3 linked regions of the Lytechinus pictus genome follow. The protein of the gene in region 1 binds, or shares a complex with, the protein of each later gene. Links are inferred from orthologs where the notes say so. Each region holds a gene or a part of one and is shown in the gene's direction. Other genes may lie near its edges.

The links. The genes of interacting proteins can lie anywhere in the genome.
Region 2: outer dynein arm-docking complex subunit 4-like (region 1) and outer dynein arm-docking complex subunit 3-like share a complex: the UniProt entries of both Homo sapiens proteins name them as parts of the outer dynein arm-docking complex. The link is inferred for Lytechinus pictus from reciprocal best matches to the Homo sapiens genes ODAD4 and ODAD3.
Region 3: outer dynein arm-docking complex subunit 4-like (region 1) and calaxin-like share a complex: the UniProt entries of both Homo sapiens proteins name them as parts of the outer dynein arm-docking complex. The link is inferred for Lytechinus pictus from reciprocal best matches to the Homo sapiens genes ODAD4 and CLXN.

Annotation. Positions count from the first base shown.
Region 1 is NC_087245.1:21,557,410-21,565,106, forward strand, and holds the start of outer dynein arm-docking complex subunit 4-like, read left to right. Parts: upstream 1-4,678; 5' UTR 4,679-4,822; coding exon 4,823-4,951; intron 4,952-5,568; coding exon 5,569-5,700; intron 5,701-6,359; coding exon 6,360-6,513; intron 6,514-6,926; coding exon 6,927-6,988; intron 6,989-7,697. UniProt on the Homo sapiens protein: Component of the outer dynein arm-docking complex (ODA-DC) that mediates outer dynein arms (ODA) binding onto the doublet microtubule. Plays an essential role for the assembly of ODA-DC and for the docking of ODA in ciliary axoneme.
Region 2 is NC_087259.1:10,445,894-10,453,531, reverse strand, and holds the start of outer dynein arm-docking complex subunit 3-like, read left to right. Parts: upstream 1-4,637; 5' UTR 4,638-4,906; coding exon 4,907-4,988; intron 4,989-6,262; coding exon 6,263-6,462; intron 6,463-7,588; coding exon 7,589-7,638. Other genes in the region: uncharacterized protein LOC129277736, read right to left, coding at 2,914-3,189. UniProt on the Homo sapiens protein: Component of the outer dynein arm-docking complex (ODA-DC) that mediates outer dynein arms (ODA) binding onto the doublet microtubule. Involved in mediating assembly of both ODAs and their axonemal docking complex onto ciliary microtubules.
Region 3 is NC_087257.1:8,581,737-8,589,632, forward strand, and holds the start of calaxin-like, read left to right. Parts: upstream 1-4,895; 5' UTR 4,896-5,033; coding exon 5,034-5,082; intron 5,083-7,896. Other genes in the region: glycylpeptide N-tetradecanoyltransferase 2-like, read right to left, coding at 40-172, 2,367-2,544, 4,618-4,718. UniProt on the Homo sapiens protein: Component of the outer dynein arm-docking complex (ODA-DC) that mediates outer dynein arms (ODA) binding onto the doublet microtubule. Seems to regulate the assembly of both ODAs and their axonemal docking complex onto ciliary microtubules.

The DNA of each region.
Region 1 (7,697 bases):
GATAGTAAAATAATAACCTTAATTTAATTGTTATTTCCGTGGCGATGGCCTGTCGTACACCTTTTATGATTTTCAGCGCGAGATGGCGTTAACATTTTCTTTCTTTTTTGCGCATGCTCTGTAACGTTGCTAAGGTAAACCTATGTAGGAAATGCATGCATATCGCATATCGCATATATTGTTTACGTGAAATTCGTGTGACGGACTTTCGATCGAAGAACCAGGCAAAGGACAGAGGGCCGAAATAATCAATATTATTCATCTTTCACCAAAGTTTTGGCCTCTTCCACAATGACGGAGGGAGAAACAAATCAAGACTCTTTTGCCATTTATATGGCAGAAGGTGATGTTCTGTTTAAGCAAGGAGAGTACAAAAAAGCATTGCATAGTTACTCGACGGCATTGGTGAGTTGAGCTGCTTTCCGTGAGTGACCGAGTTTAATGTGGACCGGGTGGGCCGTGGGAGAGAGTCAGACTCAGAGTCAGAGAGAGGAAAAAAAAACAATGAAAAAAAAAACAGAATGAAAGAAAGGGTGATACAAATACAAACTTGAGTCTTCACATAAGCTTTGGAGAAGGGTAGAGACTAGTGTAGTGAGTCCTTTTGTTGTCTGGTGGAAAAATATGGTGGAAAATAGCGAATTTTGATGACAAACGGCTACAGATCAGGATCGGTCATGTTCTTCTTCGATTGCCGTCAGTGCAGCTACAGTAATAAAAGTTAGATCTACAGCAACTGGGCGTTGTGGCGTGCGCCTGTAATCCAAGCTGTGGGGAAGTTACAAATTGACGCAGGGGTTCGAGCCCTGGTCACGTCTTTCGGATGGCGACGTTAAAGGTCGGTCCCAGACGTAAATAATCATATCTGATTGATACACGTCTGACAAAACTCAAGTACACACACAAATACACACAGCTGAGCGTACGAACGTGCCAGCCAATCCGCTGGCACTTCTTCTGTACACTCGGCTGTAACTTATTGTACATGTAGCTGACAGCGATCGAACAAGAACCTGGCTGACCCGCCCCGATCTGTTTGTCATCAAAATTCGCTATTTTCAAGCATATTTTTCAGAAGCTGATTCCATTATAATTTGATATGAATTCATCTTTATCATTTCTTCCTTTTTTCCCCGTCAAAAAGCAAAATTTAGGAATAGATATTCTAGATCTGATCGAGGAGGGTGCAAGAACGCACTCTTTCTCCAGACCATAGACGCTGTAGCTGTAGTTAAGCGACGGTTGTTTGCTCCACCATTTACAAGCCCAATGGCCGTCATCCGTCTGTGTAGGAGGACAGAAAAAAATCAGAAAATGTTGAAAAACTCCTCTGAAACAGCGGATTTATCAGTCTAATCCCTGACAGAAATAGACCTGTTTATTGGTCTATCCAGGCCTGGGTCTATCTAACGTTAGAAATAGAATCTAGATCAAACTTTATAGAGTTAGATCTAGATCTATAGCAGTATAGGTCTAGATATTGAGGAGTTTTCAGAGGTAGTATATAGTCTAAGAGTGCAGTGATTGTGAGCAGCAGGAAAAAACAACCATCGAACTCATCCTGGGAAGTCGATGGATCTACCATCGAAGAGAAAGTCAGTCACCCTCATCTTGGTATCCTCAAGTCTGGAATACGATTGGATCCAACTGGCGACATTATTGGCACCGGTATTCGTACTTTCTTTGCTCTCACTGGTACTGGAGCATATACCGGAGGTCTGGTTCCTACTCTTGTATCCCAGCTCTGGAAAACTTTCTGCATCCCTAGAATGCTGCACGGGTCCTCTATCCACAAGTTCACTAAATCTATGCTTGTAAAGTTACACCGGGCTCAATCCCATCTGTTTAAGCAAGTTCTAGGGATCCCAAAGACTGCTGCCGACGAGATTGTCTACCTCCTCACTGACCTCCTTCCAGTCTCATCACAAATAGATCTCAGGAAACTGCTGCTTCTAGGTCAACTCGTCAACCTCGATCACAGCCGCTTTGAGTTTAGAACATTCCTGGAAGCCCTCAACTTAGGCTCTCCTACAATACGGCTCTTGCAGGAGATAACAAAGAAGTACAATCTTCCTGATCTTCACAGCATTCATTCGAATCCTCCCGTATACTCATCTTGGAAGAGATTGGTCAATTACAGAGTGAACCTGCTGACCAAACACAACACATGTCAAGGAATCCTTTCCAAGCCATCTCTTAAGTAATGGCAAGATTGTATACCTCCTGCTGCTAAACTCCTGTACCTGAAAAGTGTACCCTCTCCTGTCTTACGAAGAGCATTTCATTTGTGGTGAGAGCTCAACTCCTCAGAGCCACCTTACTTAACACAGTGTCGTCTTTTCACGCTGAAGAAATCAACCAGTCGCACTTGCCCTCTATGCAAATCTGCCGACGAGACTGTGGAACATTTTACTGGGCAGTGTCCCAACCTAGACCATCTCCGTCAAGTGTTTATTGGCAAAAAATAGAATCTCCAAATTGTTTTTATTGTTCAGCTTTCCCAGAGACACTGGTCCATTTGTTTTGTGAATGTCCAAAAATTACCCCGCTTTGGCAAAACCTATTATCTTTAATCAGTACAAAAATAGGAGGTCACCTAAATTGGACAACTTTTGAGAAGATGTTTGGTGTTTCTAATGATTCAGTTCACATGAAATGTATAAATTGTTTAGTACTTTATCTGAAATTTTATATATACCGTTGCAGATTTAAAAAACTGGAACCAAATTTCGACGCCTTTATGATTTTCATCAACTACAAAAAGAAACTTGATTACAAAATAGCAGAGAAAAGAAATAAATTGGGTATTCACTTTAGAAAATGGTCTTTTTCATTTGAAACTTCGAGGCCTCAGACTCAGTCCTGATTCTTTGGTATTTCTGTACCAGACATGTTCTTAATCAGATAGTGTGCTTCTACTATTTTCACAATTTTCTCCTAATTGTGTGTGTTTTTATGTACAGTCAGTTTATTACTCATTAGTGCATAGGCTTTTTGTTGTTGTTATAAGTATGTATGCTGGCAATTCTGTAAACGTGTTGTGTTTGTATATTAACTTGTATATATGTTAATAAATATATAAAGAAAAAAAGAAAAAAAAGGTGTTTATTGGCAAAGTCAAGGACTGCCTTATGGACTTCCCAACATGTGTCAATCTATATGTCAATGCCAACCCACAGGACTTTACTCAGGCTACCCTTATACCATTTTACTCTTGTTTGCCCAATGAAGTACACAATAGTCTACTTTTATCATCCCTCTTTTTCCTCCACAAAATTCCATTCTGATATGGTTCAAACCTCCTAGCCAGAATGACAGTGTACATGGAACAAATCTGTTTTCCTTGGACCCTAGGAATCTCCAAATAGTGGAGGGATCAGTTAAGAGAGAGAGAGAGTATAGAAGTCTAGACTATGGCTTTGCTAAAATAAAGCAGCACAGTGATCCGGTAAACGGGCAAGGCTTTGATTTGCTACGACTAAGCTAAGTCTAGCCAACGTCAGTAGACCTAAGTAGATCTACTTAAGAGTCTAGATCCAAGTATTTTTTTTAACCAAACCACATCTTAAACTGGGTGATTACCCTACATCTCTCAATACAGATTACCAATACAAGTTCCCTTTTCAAAGTCCCCCCACAGAAGTTAAAATTTTCATGTTTAGAATTGTTATCTTGTCTATTTTGAGAGAAAAAAAAATTAGGATGATACAATGCAGGGACCCATTTGGTTTGACCTCATTCGAAAACCTCCCACAGGCTCTAAGTGTTTTCATGGATGGATGACAGTTAGCTTGAACTAGAGGCTTTAGTCTTATGACAAAATATTGCTTACTCAAGCTGACATAAGAAGATGCCTGACTGCATTATGAGTAATTAGCTTGCATTGGCAAAATTTTTCAACTCTGCTGAAGCTTCCAGGCATCATGTAAATGTACAATGACCCTGACTTCTTAAAAGTGAACCTGTTCAGTTTGTGTTGAGTTTATCAAATTATTTAATATACAGTTTCCACCAACATTTCATAAACATTAAAAGCAAATGGTTGAGAGAAGCCATTCATGTCTTTGATGAAAACCATAAACATTGTGTCATCTGTACATTACGCAGTTCTTGTTCATTCCTGAACCTGGAGTGTTGGCCCAAATTTATTCTGACTTGAGTACTAATGAACCAACCATTGTGGAGGTGTGGGGGGGGGGGGGGGGGCGGTGATTGTTTCAGCAATTTCCATTTTGATTTGTCTTCCAAAAAAGTAGATTACAAGCAAAATGCTAATTAAAGAATGCCTAATGAACAAGATATTCATAAAGGGAATGAAAGTGAAAATTTATGTTAAAGACTATATTGCACATTAAAATACTCTAATACATGTATACCGAGATATTTAACTGTGATAGTAGAAATTCAGCAGAGATAAATTTTATTTGAGAATTTTAAACACATAGGACCACGCTACCCTTCCCTTCTCAATAAATGGATTCATCCACTCTTTATTGATCACTTTGCAAATGGAAATCAATATACTTTCTAGCTGGTACATTCCCTGATCAAGTCTATAGAGATACCCCTTTCCTTTATCCATTGTTATCCATTGTTGAGACCTACTCAATGATGCATTCATGAATATGCATGAGGTCAAGAAGACATGAATATGCATTGCTGTTTGTTGCTATGACTTATCTCAAAGGGGCTCTTCATGCTGTACATGTAGTGTAATGGCTGCCTGCTGAAACACAAAGACTTGCACATCATCTTGGATATCTGTCACTGTACTGAAGTTGGATATTGGTTGGATATTTGAAGGAGCGAATTTAGATCCATCATGGATGAATATGTGGATCCCATGCAAGAGCGGGAGGAGCAGTTGAAGCTCCTGCAGTCGTATATAGGAGAAGCGGAGGATCACATGAGAAAGAGAGATTACAGACGTGCAATGGAGGGCTATAATTTAGTATGTGCATGTTGGATGTGTGTGTGTGTGTGTGCACATACATGTAGCAAAATGTCAATTGAATTAAAAATAGTGCTTGGGTTTTTAAGAAATCATATTTATCCTTATCCATGTCCAATTCAAATTTTCTATTAATGAATTTCACCTACCATTGACTTGTTTAAGAAAGGCAGATCTTGCTCATGCTGATTTTTTTAAAATGAAAAACTTGGTTGTAATTGTTTTGCAGGCAACATCGTGAGATTCTCCCATTGATCAAAATATAGGGAGATAATCATTATTTATGCCTGGCATTTATAAAGTTGTATTTTTAAAGGCACACTATACTTTAGCTTCAAATTATTCTTCCAGCGCTTGTTGTATTCAGGGAATTAATCCTGCTGGGTGCCCATTCATGTCACCTTTGTTTAGTGAAGTAAAAATTTTCTAAATTTGATATACTCTGTATGCAATGGTCCAGAGCAAAAAGTTTTGTCAACACAAACACATCTGGCAAAAATACATGTAGATATAAAGGTAAGTTTTTGTGACTTTGTTTTATAGGCCTACATGCATTGTAATGCACCTAGTTTGAAATGGTTAATTTTCATTTCTTTTCTCTTGTTATTGTTTTGTAGGCTTTAGAAATAGAACCCACAGACAAGAACTGCTTGGTTGCCAGATCTAAGTGCTACCTTCAACTCGGTGATTCCAAACAAGCATTAAAAGATGCTGAGGCAGCACTCTCAGATGATAAAAACTACATTAAGGTTAGTCATAAAGCCCTCCAACAGGAAAAAAAGGAATAAACAATAAACAAATTTGATTAAAAAACAATTATTATAGGTGATAAGCAAAAAAAAAATCAACATATAAAAAGAGGTGATCTAAAGGATAACAGAATGATATGAACTTAATGAAATATTTTTCTTATAAATGGCCTTTGAGTAATATAGAATTGACATTAAATTGTGTCTGCCAATATGATTTTGAGTGGAAAGTTGACCGTTCCTCCTAAATAGATATTTTCATTCAACTCTGTTTTCCTTTGAGCGGTATCTGTGCTGATTATAACATTTATCACCTTAATGGACTTGCTGTTTTTTCCTGTTTCTTCAATGATGAAAGTGTATAAAGCATATTGATTTCAATTCATTGTGGTATTAACTGCACATACAGCCAGCTGTAGAAAATGGTCAAGAAGAAATATTCATTAACTTATACATGATTATATTCATTTTCAGTGCTGTATCTTTTACAACAAGTCAAGAATCAGAAGTAAAGTTTAAGAAATTTTAACAAATCATTTTAGCAAAGCCATATGCTTTTGTGTTTATTGGATAGGCTTATTGATGTTTAATGAAAGATTTATTTCACTTTTGTTGATATTTTGCATACACCTTTCTGGTATGTATTTTTTCTTTAACAGGGTTTATTTCAGAAGGCTGAGGCGCTTTATCAGATGGGAGACTTTGAGATGGCCCTTGTCTTTTATCACCGCGGCAATAAATTTAGACCAGAGCTCCAAGAATTCCGTCTTGGCATACAGAAAGCACAAGAAGCAATTGAAAACTCAATAGGAAGTATGTGAACTAGTTTACTGCGCTTGATAGAATACATGCATTATACTTCTAGTTATGTCACTTAGCTGATTTATTTTGAGAGATATGATTAAACCCCATTCGCATTCTGTCAAGCAATAAATGAAATAAAGCGACCTTCATCATTACATTACAAACACCTGCCCAGAACCAAACATACATGTAAAACTTGTTAGATCTACATAAAACATTTGAAGTAAAAATATTAACATACATGTATGTTGGTACATGTATACTCGTAGCATGCACTCTGTAAACAATGAATTTTTGCCCATTTGGGCTTTATCAAGTGTTTAATGAAATATCAAAATGCGTCATATAACATGTCTAGTAAGTAGCGTACACTCTACTGAAGCCCTTTTATTTATTTATATTATCTCTTCTTCTGAAACCAGGTCCTTCCAAAGTAAAACTAGAAAACAAAGGGGATTTGTCTTTTTTCAATAAACAAGATGAGGTGAGTTCTATTGATAAGGAAGCTTTCTTTAGAGGTATTTACAATGTTTTTTGCTATCAAGACTAGGATTAAAATTTTGTTTAGAGACAGTTGAATGAGTAGTTTCACTTTGAAAATAAAATTCATATTGAGAATCAAGCCATCTGGCTTCTGTATATTACAAAGAGTTGCAATATATTTAATTCAAACTTGAATTTTGATTGATAGAAATTACTTAAGTAGTAAAATCTAAAATACAAATTCCTATCTCTTCACTACACAATTTTAGATTGCTTTGAATCAATCGCAATTTGAGTTTGATTGGATCTATCACAACTCTTTTTGTAAATGGGATGTGGGGTCTGTTTTTTATATTGATGAAAAACATTGTAGTCATCACTGTTAAAACTTAAATATTTTGTGCTGGTCTCCTTTCTACTTGGTAATGTGCTTAGTTATCCTGAAGATTGAATTTATGATATTGAAGGTATTCGTGTAGAGGTTATTAGTAAGGTGACACGACGCACGCTCATGCAGCATTTGCTTCTGTCTCAATATCTCAGAGGGCATAGGGTTAGAGTTTAGGGTTGGAATATAATTTTTTGTTCTGAATAATGCAAAGATAAGGATCAGGGGGCCGTTTCATAAAGCTGTTCGTAAGTTAAGAGCGACTTTAAGAACGACTGGTGATCCTTTCTTACGCGCAAAACCATCGCTAATGAATATACCA
Region 2 (7,638 bases), on another chromosome or scaffold:
AGCCATTTAGGAGATTTTAATGGAAGTTGGGGGGGGGGGGGGTGTTGTTAATTCCTCCACGCAGTACCCCGCTCCTATCTGCAGAATACAAACATCTTGTAACTTTATCACTTTAGGCCTCTTGCCACTGCCATTCCATATAACCTCCTGGCCTTGTATTACATATATTTTGTTGTAAGATGATTGATGACAGTATAGGCCTACATAAAATATGCACAAAGCGTGCTCAGTGGCGGTTGTGGACACCCCTCCCTCACTCCCCTTTGATGATGGGGGGGGGGGGGCAATTATTGTATTATGGGTTTCAAAATAATAAATTAGAGTGAAAACAGTGGCGTTATGAGCAAAAAAAAGGTTGTGGGGAACAATATGGCATGTGTAGGAAAACTTCGAAAAAGTCGCAAAGCGGAACTTGTTGCCCTTATTAAATGAAAATATGATTCTATGATAGATTATGACATAATATTCAACAAAATAACGTTTCACCCCCTTCCTTTCATTTTATTAGTTTATTTCCTTGCTGTTCCTTTTTTATGGTTGAACTTTTTTTCGGGGGGGGGGGGGGGACAACCCCCAGCCTCCTAGATCCTACGCCAATGGGTGAAAACGCATATTAATGACCTTTCATTTCCAGTTTACCCAAATACCGTGTGTATTAAATAGTAAGTTTCAATAGTTGATGTAATCATTTCGTGCTCGGTCGCCGCGCCTATTTTCATGTTATATGGTGCTGCTTGTCACAGATTTCGATCCACATGATGAGAGGATCCAACTTTCGCCAGGGGGGGGGGGGGGGGGGTATTTTCATACAGAATTCCCCAGATTATTTTTGAGGGGGTAGTCCTAACTAAAAATTGAAGTTTAAGGAAATATCGTGACATTATTCTTACCATAGATCCATGTTCTTACAAGCTAGATAGGTATCTCATTTAGCCTTAATAAATATTGTGAGCACGATCTCGGGTTTTTGAAATATTACATGTTTTAAGGCCTGAAAATTGAGTATTCTGAGCATTCTTTTTTAAATTACGATCAAGATTTTTATCTAAATAAATTTTGAAATTTATATACTGACCGAAAACTTAACACATTTTAAAGCACATTTTTTGTAACCAGGACTATGGTACTAAACAACTGATAAGAGCGCGAAGCGCGAGCTGAAAAATTTCGGAAAAATGTTGTTTGATATAGTAGAGCCGAAGGGGGGCTGACCACGGAAAATAAATTACAATCAGGGACACGTTGCACTAAACTTTTGCCATAAAAAAACTCTGGCAAACAGAATTATGCCATTAAAACTTACACATTTAAAAACTCAGGCAAAAAATGTCCATATAGTTTTTCTTTAATGCATGCATCAGGGCCCTGGTGGTCACGTTAACGTTTTTAGCCCTCCAGCCCGGTTGTTCTGTGGCTCTTGTCATGATCATTCTGGGATTGAGTTAAGAACGACAATTTCATCCATCCTATGTTCTCCCGATTATTATTTCAGTCGATAAAGACAATGGACTTTCATTATCTCCATCCAAGCAAAGATCGCTTAGATGGTGGCAGCAACCGTGTTTCAGAAAATGTAACTAAGGCAATGACATTGATCACGGACACGTGACAGACAAACAGAATACCACAAACCTTTTTGCTAATCAACAGAAAAACGATTTTGGTCGCTTGTTATTCTTTTCCATCTGCATCCATGCCACATTCCTAGACAATGGTTAAGCATGATCTAATCAATATCAAAACCTTGTCTTGTTCATCATTATTAGCGCTCCAAATGATTTGTCGATAATTTCACGTCGTCTAAGAGCTTTGGGATGTTTTGTTCTCTACAAAGGTATCATTCAGATGTTAAATGTTTTCTTTGAGGCTCAACTTTTATTATTTTTTCCAATAAAATGAAAAGAAACGTACCCTTTTCTGCGTTCATGCCTCATAATATTGATGAAAGCTTGTAATATACGAATTTAGCAATAGAATGTGTTTTGTTAGTTTTCTTCAGTGTCCAGGCGAAACTCATGCACACAAAAATAAGATAACACTTTAAGATATTTAACACTACACTTTAAGATGTTAAACTCTACACTTTAAGCTGTTTAACACGAACAGTCTACGGATAGCTGTTATTAAATATTTTTTTATCGACAGTAGATGAATGATATTGATGATAGATATTCATAACGAATCACTACTCTGTGTTTGGACACAATCATGAGCAATTATTGAAGGGCGGCAAATTTTCCCCTTTTCACACGCTGACCGAGGTGGGGTGGCAACGATTCGACCATCTAACATGTCTTATGCACTTTCGCAAAAAGTGGCAATTAAACGCAATGTGCAAAATGCAAACCAAAAAGAGACTGACCTTGGGGGGGGGGGGGTCGAATAAGCTTGTAATGAATTAAATTTAGGTATAACTTTTAATGCGTGCAAGCAGGCTCATGAAATGAGAATGAAGATGAAAATAAAGCAATAGAATAAGGGGAACTAAAAGTTTGAAGTTCGGTATAATTCGAATTAGGGCCGAGGGGATATCGTAAGCGCTTAAGAACTGCCATAAACAAATTGTTACAAATTTAGATTAAAATTATGGTTTAAAAGTTTAAACATTTGTTAAAGTGACGGATTTTAACTTCGTGCTTAAAATTTTAACACCTTTTTTTTTTTTTTTTGTAAGATGTGTGTCCAGGCAGATTGTGTGTCCGGATAATCAATTTTGAACAGTCATTTGAAAAAAAAATAATAAGCGAAGTTTCATCAATATTTAGTACAAAATATTAGGTAATATTACAGAGAACAACATAGAAGACGATTACAACTATTGAATTCATATTTTTAGTGTAATCCAAATACAAAAAATAAGGCTTCAAAATCATAAAGACAGTGTCCGGACACCCGATCCCCCTTGCTACTTACCACGGACGGATGTGGGTTGTTTCTAGGAGGAGAGATGTGACCATGGTAACCTTGCCACACCCTCCATATCGTCGCTGGGACATTGGCCGATTTCCCGGTCTTGGGCTTGATAGATTCCAAGCTGTAATCTTGGGCGTACAAACTCCCGTAGCGGTCAACGCCGGCTGCCTCGTCTTCGGGAAAAATCTCCCAACTGTCCTCGTGCTGGTTTTTAATTTCTTTTGCAGCGCATTTTGCCCCCGGTGTGGGTAGCATGTGAATGCACGCTGCTGCCATTTCGGTTCCTTCCGCTTAAAATATTAAACTATTGTTAAAATATCATTACTTTAATTTAATTACTTAACACCACCTTATCCGGGGAATGTTTTGTTTACTAATGTCCACTTCATGAACTTGTCGCGTCGTAATGACCATTGTCTTTGATGCATTATGTATACAACTGACGTCACAAAAGAAAAGTTTTGCGCGCACGCGCGTGTAATTAGAGGCTCATTATTGGTCCATTTGCCTTTATCACCTGACATTGGTAATTAGTCACGAGGTATTGATTTATAGTCTGCTATGCCATTGCGGTGGTTGAATGCACTACCAGTTGTATAAGTTTCTACATTATCATTAATGATTTAACGATCATGATTCCCTTTCACCCAGTATTGCTGTGGGTGATAAAGCGTCAGAAATTCAATATTTAGTTTCATTATCAAAGACTGTGTCCAAAAAAGACAACTATCGTATCACCTTGTCCAGGATTAAGTTTAGGCTTATGCTAGCATTTGGTTCTAATATCTTTTTGTTTTCATGTCGTGAATGATGTCCTTTCATTTTAATGAAAACTTTAAAATCCATTAATGGGGGATAATCTGCACTTTTTTTGTGCTATCAATATCCCCTCTTGAAAAAGAAAATATTTTAGCTGAACAGTGTGTTTGTTGTTCCTTGTCTTCACCAGTTATCAATGTGACATTCTCTCACAGTGACAGAAAAATACATCATTTTCTTTGTATTGTTTCAGTGTTCTATTGGAGGCATATCACTATACGGTATATATACATTCCTACATCCATATCCTAGTATCGTTTATGGTGACAAAACACCCCAATAACTCTCCCTGATTAACAATTTATAATCAAGAGCCTCCGTATTCCTGTCTAACCAATCCGAATAACATTGCCCATCATCATGGCCAAATTAAGAACCCACTTTGTATTTGATACTTTTGCCATGTATTTTTTTTTACTCGCACTATTGCAGTGAAAAAGCTGTACACTTTGGACCTATTAAAAAGCACAACAGACAAAAGAAAAAAAAAAGGGGGGGGGGGTACTCCTAATTAAGCCGCCTCCGAGGGGCCAGCTCAACATTGATGTGGTTTAAAAAAATGCCTGTACCAAACCCCACTTGGGCCGCGGAACGGTTTTGAAAGGGTGTGGGGGGGGGCTGACTATGCAACAAACCACAATCAGATGGTCATTTTTACGTTTTTGTACACGGTTTTGGAAAAACAAAGTGGGGGGCTGTGTTATCCGCGGCCCCCGCAAAGCTAAGTGTACGCTTTCGTGAAATATTTCAGAAAAAAATGAAATATGTATTATCGTCCATTATCTATTCTGAGTTTCTTATACGTTATAGCTCTATATACTCGCCCTGAATATTTTTTTTTCCGACGAATTCGGCGTCAGCGTCTTTGCGCGCATATTGGTCGCAGCTGGCGCTATCGACGATCGGCAGTTGCTACGGGAAACGTGCGACAAAACAGCCTTCGTCGATCGCAAGCTCTCGTTTCGCGGATTTCGTACGTGTACAATACACGGGAATCCAATACAAATTTTGTGTGTAGATTTCCTATGCAGAGCTAGCTAGCTAGATTAACGTAAACAATCTTCACTACGAAAAGATACATGGACTTGGCAGCGAGATTTCTTTGAAAAAGACTTGTTTCTGTTGATATTTTTACATCTTTAACTTTTGGTGAAGGACAGGAAAACTCACGAAAATGCCGGGTGTCGGCAAAACAAACAGCAACACTCCGATTACGGAGCAAATATCAGAATTGCAGCGTAAAATCTCCTTGTTGGGTGAGTAAAAAAAAAAATCATTTTGTGACTTGTCATGTCATGTGCAATGTAAATTAAATGGGGATGTAGAAATTGAAATAAATTGATACGCCCAGATCTAGATGACCATGACGTACTCTCATTGGTAACACTTAATGAAGTTTTTTTTCATAAACACAAGGGGCCATATTAAATTGGTAATGCAATGATAAAGTTTGACTTTGAGTTGAAGATGTTCAGAAATAAATGGAATCTGGACTGAACAGAACAGTGTCAAGACAAGCGTGAGTGAGAGAGACTGAACTGAAGTCAGTGAGATGTTATTTGTTAGGATCTATCAACAAAAATAAGCTAGGGCAGGTATTAGTCTATTTGAGACGAGACCAAAGTCAATGATCAAATGGATAAAAGGTCTTGTTGATGATTAAGTTTGGCAGAGGCCAGGGTCGCTGGCACATGTGTGACTGACAGTTCAAAAGCAGACTTGTAAGGGCTAAGCCTAAGGCAAGGATGGTTGTTCCAATGTTATCGACTACGACTACGTGGGATACAGTCTGGGGAGGGTAGGCCTAGTACTAGTAGTAAAATGAAAGAAATTGTGAAATAATCAAAATTGACAAAACGTAATGTTAAAGTCCTAGGCCTACTTGGTTTCCTTAGCTTAGCCTTAATTAGGGCTTTTAGTTAGGCTTAGATCTAGAATCTACATGTAGGCTGTAGCTGAATCTGTCTGTTTGGAGGAGTTTTTTGTTTTCACCTCCATACATTCTAACACATGGTCATGGAGGATGTGTAGTGACTAAAAACATCCAACGGAATTGGGAACCAACAACATCTGTTGCCATGTTGGGTTCCTGGTCCTGATCCTCAGGTGGATATTGATTACCAATAAAGAGAAACAAAAACTTTTGGTCTAGGAGACTAGGTTCTCTTTGACACGCTTACTATATTGAGGATGGTAAAAATCAGATAGGTCTATTGATCTTGGTGTCAGGAATTGATAAATAAATCCACAGAACAAAAGTTACATGTAGAATCTGTTCAGCATATTAGATGCAAAGATATTGGTATCAATTTGAATAATTTTACACATTGGATCTAATACTAGTAATACGCATCTGACTACATGGTTAAACTGGTTGATGAAAAATGGATGCCATGTTTATTAGAGTTTATCAATATGATCATTCCATTAATGATGTTTAAAGTCATATGATTTTTTTTCATATATTGTTCCATGTACATGTACCTAATTCAGTTCAATGATTATTTTATTTATTAATATTTGTTTAAAGATGGTGACAGGAAAGCATATTACGAGAGTTCCCAGTGGACCATTAAGCAGAACCTTGAAGTCATCCGTAAGTTGCGACAGGAAAACAAGACCCTACACAAGCGGCTAGCAGCAAGCAAGGCGGGAGATGACCGGGTACTGGATATTGCCTTCAAGAGTCGAGAGGTGGAGCGCGCCTCGCTCAGAGGCAAATCTGGACGGGTGGGTAACTTAAATGTTTCTTAACCCATTAGGTGCGAGTATATATGGGCTGCCGCTGGAGTCTATGGAAAACTTGTTATAGCAAAATCATCCAGTCTGCAACGGGTTAATCTTTCATGAAGTCATGAATAACCTTTGCAGCTTGGTAAAATAAAAAGGAAATCAGAAAAAAAAACCTTTAATATTGATCTTAATTTTGTTTTGTTTTTCAAACTACTCTAGGAATCAAACACCAGTTATGTACATGTATGCCACTATTAATTGATAACCAATGTTGTTGATAACTTAATGTTTTGACCAACATAAGGTATGCTAGTAAAACGTTATTTCAATTTTAATCTAGAGGAGAGTTTGGTCCTTGCATACTCCTAGTCTTAGTTTGGTTTGTTCAATCAGAAAAGTACTTGTACAGTATGATTATGAGAATACATGTATGATTTAGATTCAATTATATTCCTGTCTACCTCTGATATTGTGGTTATACATGTAAGTTTCTTTGTGTGTTTTTTTTTGCATATTATTATTGATAAGAATATCAGCTTAATAGATGTATCAGTTAAAGCTTTAACCGAATATTTTCCAGGGAAAGGTTTATAGTAGGCACATGCTGATAATTATACCAAGGTTTAACCCTAGTCTAACTTTAAAGTAGAATTTTAACCACACTTCTATTGAATGCTGGCTTCATAATATTTCTTCCATATTCATGGCAACTGTATTGTGCCAATCACTTCATTAAAATTCATTATATATTTGTATTTTCCTATTCACCCCATTTCAGTTAACTTTTGAAAACTTTTTTTGCAGCAGGATGAGAATAATGTTTAATTGGAGAATAATAAAAACTGGCACTCCATATAAGTGTGGTCGAATGCAACGCAGGTTTAACCTAACCATGGCTATAGAAATACATGTACCTCCCATATTGTTCAGTTACTGTCAGTGGGTCAGTGGTATTTTTAAAGTTGATCTCCCTCTTCCTAGTCTTTTTTCTTGAATTAGACATTCTTATGTTTGACACAGATGGGCAGGTATTTATTTCAATTATACCTTTAAAGAGAGTACATGTATTTTGTTTAAATTTGTTAGTGATAACAAAATATATCCCTTTATTGTGGCTTTACAGGAAGCAATCCGTATCATGGACCAGAAGGCGTGTGAGGCCAAGAAAAAACT
Region 3 (7,896 bases), on another chromosome or scaffold:
TTACTAACTGATAGAAAACAAAATGAAGAAATTACTTACCCAAATTAGGAACAGGCTGTGTTGCCCAGAAGTTGTAAGTCTTTTTCCTGGCTTCGTCCATGTTCTTTGCAGGCCCCTGTGGAACGAAAAACTCCATGGCAGCTTTTAGCTTTGACATGGATAGCTGAGGATTCTGAAAATAAGAGAGCAATACTGTTATAATGATAATATAGGGTATTTATATTGCGCACATATCCACCTTGTTAGGTGCTCAAGGCGCTCCTATATTACGCGGCTAAGCTAGGCGTTCACAGGGCACACAGCTTATTGAGGAATTACTTCCTACCGGTACCCATTTACCTCACCTGGGTTGAGTGCAGCACATTGTGGATCAGTTTCTTGCTGAAGGAAATTACGCCATGGCTGGGATTCGAACCCACGACCCTCTGTTTCAAATTCCGAAGACTTATCCACTGGGCCACAACGCTCCACATCATCATCAATCACCATTTTAACACAATTATTGTGATTATCACCACTCTAACAATCACTATCATCATAACCATTAATCAAATCTTTATAAATTATTGTCATTATCGTTATATCATGATCCTTATCATTTTCATGATTATTGTTATTGCAATAACTAATATTACCATTATTATCATCATATCCACATCATCATTATCATCATCACCATTACCATCACCAGCATCATCATTTCATTTTCATTTTATTCTGTTTTCTTTAATATCTCAGTTCAAAGATGTCAGCTCTATTTCGAGAAAATTTATTGTGGTTGTGAGTACCAGTAATCTTTCACAATTCAATTCAATTCAATTTCAATTTATTTCATTCATAAAAACACATAAATATACATAGTAATAAACAAAATATCAATATAAGAATGTGGAGACAGCTTAGAAGAACCAAGTCTTATACAGTGCTGCCACCAAAATGTAAGCACAAAAATTTTAAAATGAACATTTTAACATAATAACTAGAAAATAAGGATGATAAATACAAATACAAATTATTAATAATATGCCCAGATTCAGGCATCCTATTGGAAACTACCTATGCCAGCCGCACAGAAACGTTGTTAGTTAAACAAAGCGCTAACAGCAAGCCCAGTCATATCTTTCGGATTGTGAAGCCAAAACATTTGATTTCCACATGCAAGTAATGCATTGTTGTAACATTAGGCATCGCTGTCACATTGCCGATTGTATCAGAGCCTCCGTTACATGTAGCGCATCGTAAATGCTAACAACGTTTCTGTGCGGTCAGTACAGGAGGGATGCACAAGCCAAAAACATCTTCAACATATTCTCCGCTTGGTAAAGGCATGTGAATGGGGTAAATTGCCACTTGTGTCCATTTTGTATTAAATCTGGTCTCATCTTACATGGTTTAATCCTAGTTGGTCTACAACCTCTTTGTCTTCTGACGTTTTGGTAATGCATTGTCATTTAACCCAGTTAACCAGTTTCACTATTTTCAATTTTTGTCTAAAGCCACTTAAATCTCCTTCCTACAAAGAGTAAGACCTCCGAAAGACTGCTGTAAGACCATGAAACTTGCTTGATCTTTCAAGGGTCTTTCAATCAACTTTCAAAAGATCTCTGAGGTCTTTCACGTTTCCTGGTGGATCTTTCAGTGGTCTTCGTAGTCCTCAAGAAAATGTTTTTGGTGGTCTTTCAGGAGTTTTTCAATGGTCTTTCCATGAACTTTCAAAGTTCTTAATAGTCTTTCCATGATCTTTCGACAGTCTTTCAAGATTTTTTGGGAAATCACTGTAGGACTCGTGAGAGATCATTCAAAGATCATTGAAAGACCAGGGAGAGTCCATTGAAAGAATTCTTAAAGATCACTTGCTGCATAAAAGATCTCTGGAAGATCATTGAAAGATATCTATAGGACTTGTCTAAGTCTAGTAAGACAAAAAGTATCAATCAGTATTTCACAGAGTCGTCAAATTTCAGTGATCTTGGAGACTGCTGTTAAGACCTTGCTATTTTTGGGTCTTTCAGAAGTCCTTCCAAGGTCTCCCCTCTGTGGAATGGGGGCCTAATCTATGAATAGATTAACTGTTCACATGAACCAAATTTTCATTTGATAAAGTGCAAAACAATACTGTATGAGCCAAATTTTCTTTTGACAAAGTGTGCAAAAGGGGGAATTGAGACTATCTGGGCATTAGACTACTGTAAACAAAAAGTATTAGACAAATTGATTGTTGGAACGAAAGGTAATTAGACCAAATTGAGAGTACATGTGCACCGAGTGGGTTTAATTCTGATGGAATTTAGACTAATTGCAAAATCATATTGGATCATATTGGAACAGCTCAGGCATAGAAATCAAAAGATGAATAAAGGAACTACCTGACTAACACGGGAATCAATCTGGTCTACCCCCACTGCAGCACCGCCTGAAGCTCCATCTGCCTTCTTCTTTTTCTTTTTCTTCTTTTTCTTGTCTTTTCCTCCATCATCATCCGCTCCACCTGTGGCCCCTTGCTGACTGGTTGAAGGCTGTTCTTCGTCTAAATTACTGGTAGGACTATTGAAGGAAGAGAGAGCGAGCGAGAGAAAATGTAGTGTATTACAGTACGACAGTATACCATAGACATGTCCACTCCTCTGCCGTACTTTGGCAAAAGGAAGCAAGTTACAAATGAGAAATGTGTGTTTGTCATTTACATAGGCGTAAATGCAATTTAACATCACATTATCTTTGATCAATATCTTTTCATCGAACAATCATTTCTTCCCAAAATTTTGCCTGAACGTGCAATATAGAAAGTATGTTCCAGAAACAACTCAAATTCGACTGATGTGTCACTTGCTTCCTTTTGCCAAAGTTGGGCAGTCCTATAGTTCAGCTTTGGGATTCAGCTTTGGGAAAGATAGTTACCCCCTGAAATAGCCCAATTTGTACTCATACCCTCTCTTAGCAGAAATCCTAAACCCCCCAAGTTCAATTTCTCCCAAACGAAAAGATGATCTGTAGCATACTGACTAGAAACAAAGATTTTAAACCAGTCTGCTACAGGCCACTGCAGCTCTCAGTTACCTGGTAGTCTTGCAGGAAACTTCCAAACTTGTTGGGTATCAAAAGGGTATATATTTTCAACAGCCTGGAGGCCCTGGACACATTTAGAGGGTTTAATCATACTATCTACCTGCAATCATTCAGCATGGATTGAAATATTCAAACAGGTAATTGACAAATATTTTATTTTATCACTTTTCACAATCAATAATTATGCAAACAACTGAATACTTTCCATTAATATGGCAACAAGGATTGCTTGAAAGGGGACATCTTTTCATGCTTGATTTGAAATTAGGGAGGAGAAACTTGATGAAATATTTAGGTTTCTCCATTATCAAATTTTTCACAACTAAAGTAAGAGTCCTCTTTATCACTTCTCTGTCACTCACAGCCCTTATTTTTCTATCATCTTCTTTTTCTTTTTTCTTTTCTGTTTTCCTTTTTATCTTTTTTCTCCTATCATTATTTCTTTTAGAGCTTCTCCCCTCCTTTCACTCTCGAGCTCTCCCCCCCCCCCTTCTCCAGTTCCTTGTCCTCCTCATTTGTCTTCATTCTACTCCTATTTTGAATAATTCTTCCTCCTTCCTCTCCATCTTGTTCTTTTTTGTCATTTGCTATTCTTTTTCTTATCATTCTTCTTTGAACTTATTCTTCTTTTTCTTCTCCTCCTATCTCTTTCCTTTCTTAATGTCCCACCCTTTCTTCCTGAGTTCCTCCTTCTCTTAATTCTTTTTCTCAGTCTTCTTTTTCTTTTTTTATTTCCACCCCCTCCTCTGCTTCTAAGCTAAGTTCCATCTCCTTATTCTTCTATTTTCCTTCTTTTTTTAAATTCTTTCCTCTTATTTTTTTTCTACCTCCTCCCTTCTTCAACTTCACTCTTAAGTTCTCTTTCCCTCCTCGTTGTTGTTGTTCGATGTGGGTCATTTCCACACCCAAATGATGATCTCCTTGATCTTCAAAATGATCTTCCCTCCTCCCTTTATTCTTTTCTTTCCCTTCTCTTCTTTTCTTCCCCCCCCCATCTCTTTTCTTGATCTTGCTCTTATTGATCTAATCTCATTTTCAGACATAGAGTTAGACTCATTTTTATTTTATTTTTATCTCATTTTATTTCATTTCAAGTGGTATTTCTTCTTTTCGCTTAAATTTAAAGAATAAAAAATTATAAAGTTTTGCTCATTTCAATATTTTCTTCTTCTTTCACTTTCACTCCTCCATGGCATGCTACTGCTAGTAACTCATGGCATGACTGAGGACACCATCAAGAAGATTATTTAGGCCTAAACTAAGTAAGTGCACGATCAGTTACAAGACAGCCACCAACTTGAGCATGAGCGCCCAGGCCCAGCGCGATTACAGCTGGTGAGGTACTGCCCCGGGCGCGATCGGCGCAGGCCCGTGCGCGCGCCAGACCGTGCCCGTGCAGCTCAGTTGACTTGAATGAACACTTCCGAACACGGGCACACGGCTGGCCTGGACGGAAATGAAGTGCAGTCGTGCAGAATCCTGCATGTTGTCAATATGGTATTAGGGGATTTTAAGTGTATAGCTGAATAAACTGATAACTATTTCACTTACTCTGTTTCAGTTTGTGCTTCACTGCCAGCAGTTTTTTCTCCATTTGTAACAGGGTCAAGATTCTCTTCTGTCACCGTCTGCGAGTCCATGTTCTCCGCCATGTTTTTTGGCTAAATTGGTCAGATAATTTTTCTTTTTTAAAGAGTTGGAAGGGTCTAACTTAAAACGCATTCAGTTTAAAATAAAATTGATATTTATTTAATCACTAAATTATTTTTTTTCTTTCCTAAAAAGGATAAAAATATAATAACAAAATTAATAACAAGAAAATAGAGAAAACATTTTGCCCAAGCGCATGCGCAAAATGCATAGAGACGTGAAGCTTTATCGTCAACAACCCCGCGAATTTGTACCGTCCTAGATCATTATACCATTTAATTTGGAGGGAAATCGGTTTCTTTTGAATAAATATCACCATGAAAGGAAGTAAAAAGAATGCTGGAAATCAGGCAAAAGAATTCCACTGTAAGTATTAGGTATTTAATTAGCCCAAGGCCAAACTTATTCGGTACCTTCCGGAAGTTCCGACCTGAGTGAGGCAGAGCTGCGCCCTGCGACGCGCCCGACCTGGGGCCGGGCCCGATACCTTCCCCAGAGCTCCGGCACCGTATCGGACCCTAGGCTAGCCCCACTCACACAACATGCGAGGTTAGTATTACTAACCTCGCACAACACATGTGATTTCATAGTGCATTTTGACGTTTTCATTCATCACACGAATGTGAGGGACTAAACTACGCCAAACCTTTCAATATTTGTCCGCTATGTTAATCTTGATCGTATGATCAAGTTTTTATGAAAAAGCAATTATAAATTATTTATTAAAGTGTTTTTATCGCTTACCTCCAAATCTCAACCAGGATACTTCGCTCGGTCCGTCCTTAGTCATCCTTCGTACTGCGGTGGAAATTACGCAAACAACAATCGAAATGCGAAATTTTCCTATCGAACATTCTCGATTCAAGTCGTCGGCGCATAATAGGAAATTGTACCAAAAATCAACATAGTTCTCTATTTATTCAAACAATTTTTTCTGGGGTGCACTTGACCTTTAAGAGATTTTCCAATGAAAATATTACATGGAACTTGGAAATACAAATCATAATTTGGTTGAACAAAATGTTTTCTGTTAAAGTATAAAACAGAAGAGGAACATATCCTTCACGTATTTTTATATGTTTGCACAAAAAAGGAGAGGGAAAGGGAAAGGAAAAGGGAGGGGGAAAGGTAGAGGAGAGAGAGGGAAAAGGAGACCATAAAATAGAAAGAAAACAAAGGAAAGGAAGAGGGGAAGGGAGAGGGAAAGAAAAATGGAAAGAGCGAGAAAGGAAAGAAAAGAAGGGAAAGGAAAAGCGAAAAAGGGAAGGGAAAGGGAGAGAAGAAAAGAAGGGAGAACGAAAATGGGGAAAGGGAGAAGGAGAGGGGATAATGAAGGGGATAGGAAAATGTCAAGTTTGAAGATCTGAATATTAACACTAAAACAAAATTAGACTCCCATGTTTTATTTATAAAAATACCATCTTTTTCATGATTATAAAGGTTCAACGTCCCTGTTCTAGGTCTAAACTTCAACATAAATCTACTGGCGCTTCGCGCTTGAATTCTGGAGGTCATTCCTCTTTTAAAAGTATAGGTAATCTGTCGGACTTTTCAAATCCCAAATTTAAATCTTAAGCGCAAATGCCCTCGCATTATTTTTCATTTAGATACAGTCCTGTCATCAATATCAAAAACTCTAAGCGCGAGCTTCGCGCTGGCATCATTTTTGTAAGTGACATTTATGATGTTGTTCATATTTAAAAAATGTCCATTTGTTGAGGTTTAAATGTCCAAAAGTTCAGCGCTCGCATAATTTGTAAGGTAAATAGACCTACCCTTTTAATTGTTATACAAAGGCGCTTATACAACGTCACACAATATTTAAATAAAAGAGTTGCCAAAGCTGTAGTACATGTATAACTTCACACACACACATATATATATATATATATATATATATATATATATAGGTCTCCTCATCATGGTTATAATAAGTGCTCAGAATGTTTTATTTTCAAGTCCTTGTATCAGAATTTTCAGCTCGGGCAGCTCTATCGCATTTTGATTACTATCCTGTTGATTTATTTACTTGAACAAAATATTTAAAATGTCCAGCTTTTAGAACAGATATCAAAAAAAGGTATTCACCTTTGATCATAGATGAGGAAGAAGAAAAAAGTGAAAAAAAATAGGAAACAAACTAACGAATTAATGTGACATAATTTTTCTTCATTTCAAGGCGACTCTTTACATTTCATCATCGCTGATGGCGCTACAATAGAAAATACCGCTTGACAGCAAAAAAAAAAAAACAGAAAGAGGAAAATAATGCTGAGCGTCTAAAATGCAGCTAGCAGTACAAGCTGCAGAACCGTCGTAAACAAACATCTTGTGAATAATATCGCGCGCCCTCTAGCTCTTTAAGCAAAAGTTTACAACCACAATTACCCTGCGGTATCTACGTGAAGATCACGAGAAAATGCATTTTTTATCTTAAAAACACACCAAAGAGAAGACAAGAAACGATCCATATGGTTCGGTAAGTGTCATAGCACAATTAGAAACATTATTTTAAAAGGAATGGCTTAGTTATTTTAGTAAAAAGGGTGTGAAAAATTCGCGTGCACCATGTGCATATGAATCCTTCGCACGCGAGATGCATTGATCCCATGAGTGGGCTAGCCCAAGCGTTTTGGCTTTGCCGGCTTGCCGCATGCAAAAACAACATCCCCGCAAACAAACAGGCTGCGGGATGCTGTAAGCTCCAGAGACCATACCCCACTCAGGAGGATTTATAAATAAAAAAAATTAAATATTGTATAATTCACACAATAAAATTAAAAACAAAATACCGGTACTTATATAGTGAGTGAGGCATCATCATTCTCATTTGACAGTACTGTCAGTGTCAGTAGAGGCGCACGGCCAATATGGGAGACTCTCTCCAATACTAATACTAATAGGGGAGACAATCTCCCACATTGGAGACTTGCTTTGCAAAAGGACAAAAGAAACAACACCAACAAAAGCATGATTTTTTCCACCCAAAATTTTGTCTCACTGAGGTCAGAAGCCCATTTGTTTTGTGTGTGATTGACAACAAAAATCCTTATCAAAACAAAAGTAGACGGTGAATTTTAAAGTAGACGGTGAAAAGGGGTAATTTTTCATGAGGAATCTGCTTATCACATTTTTATTTGCCTCCAAGGTAATCCTTTTGCAGCAAATGTAAACAAAGGA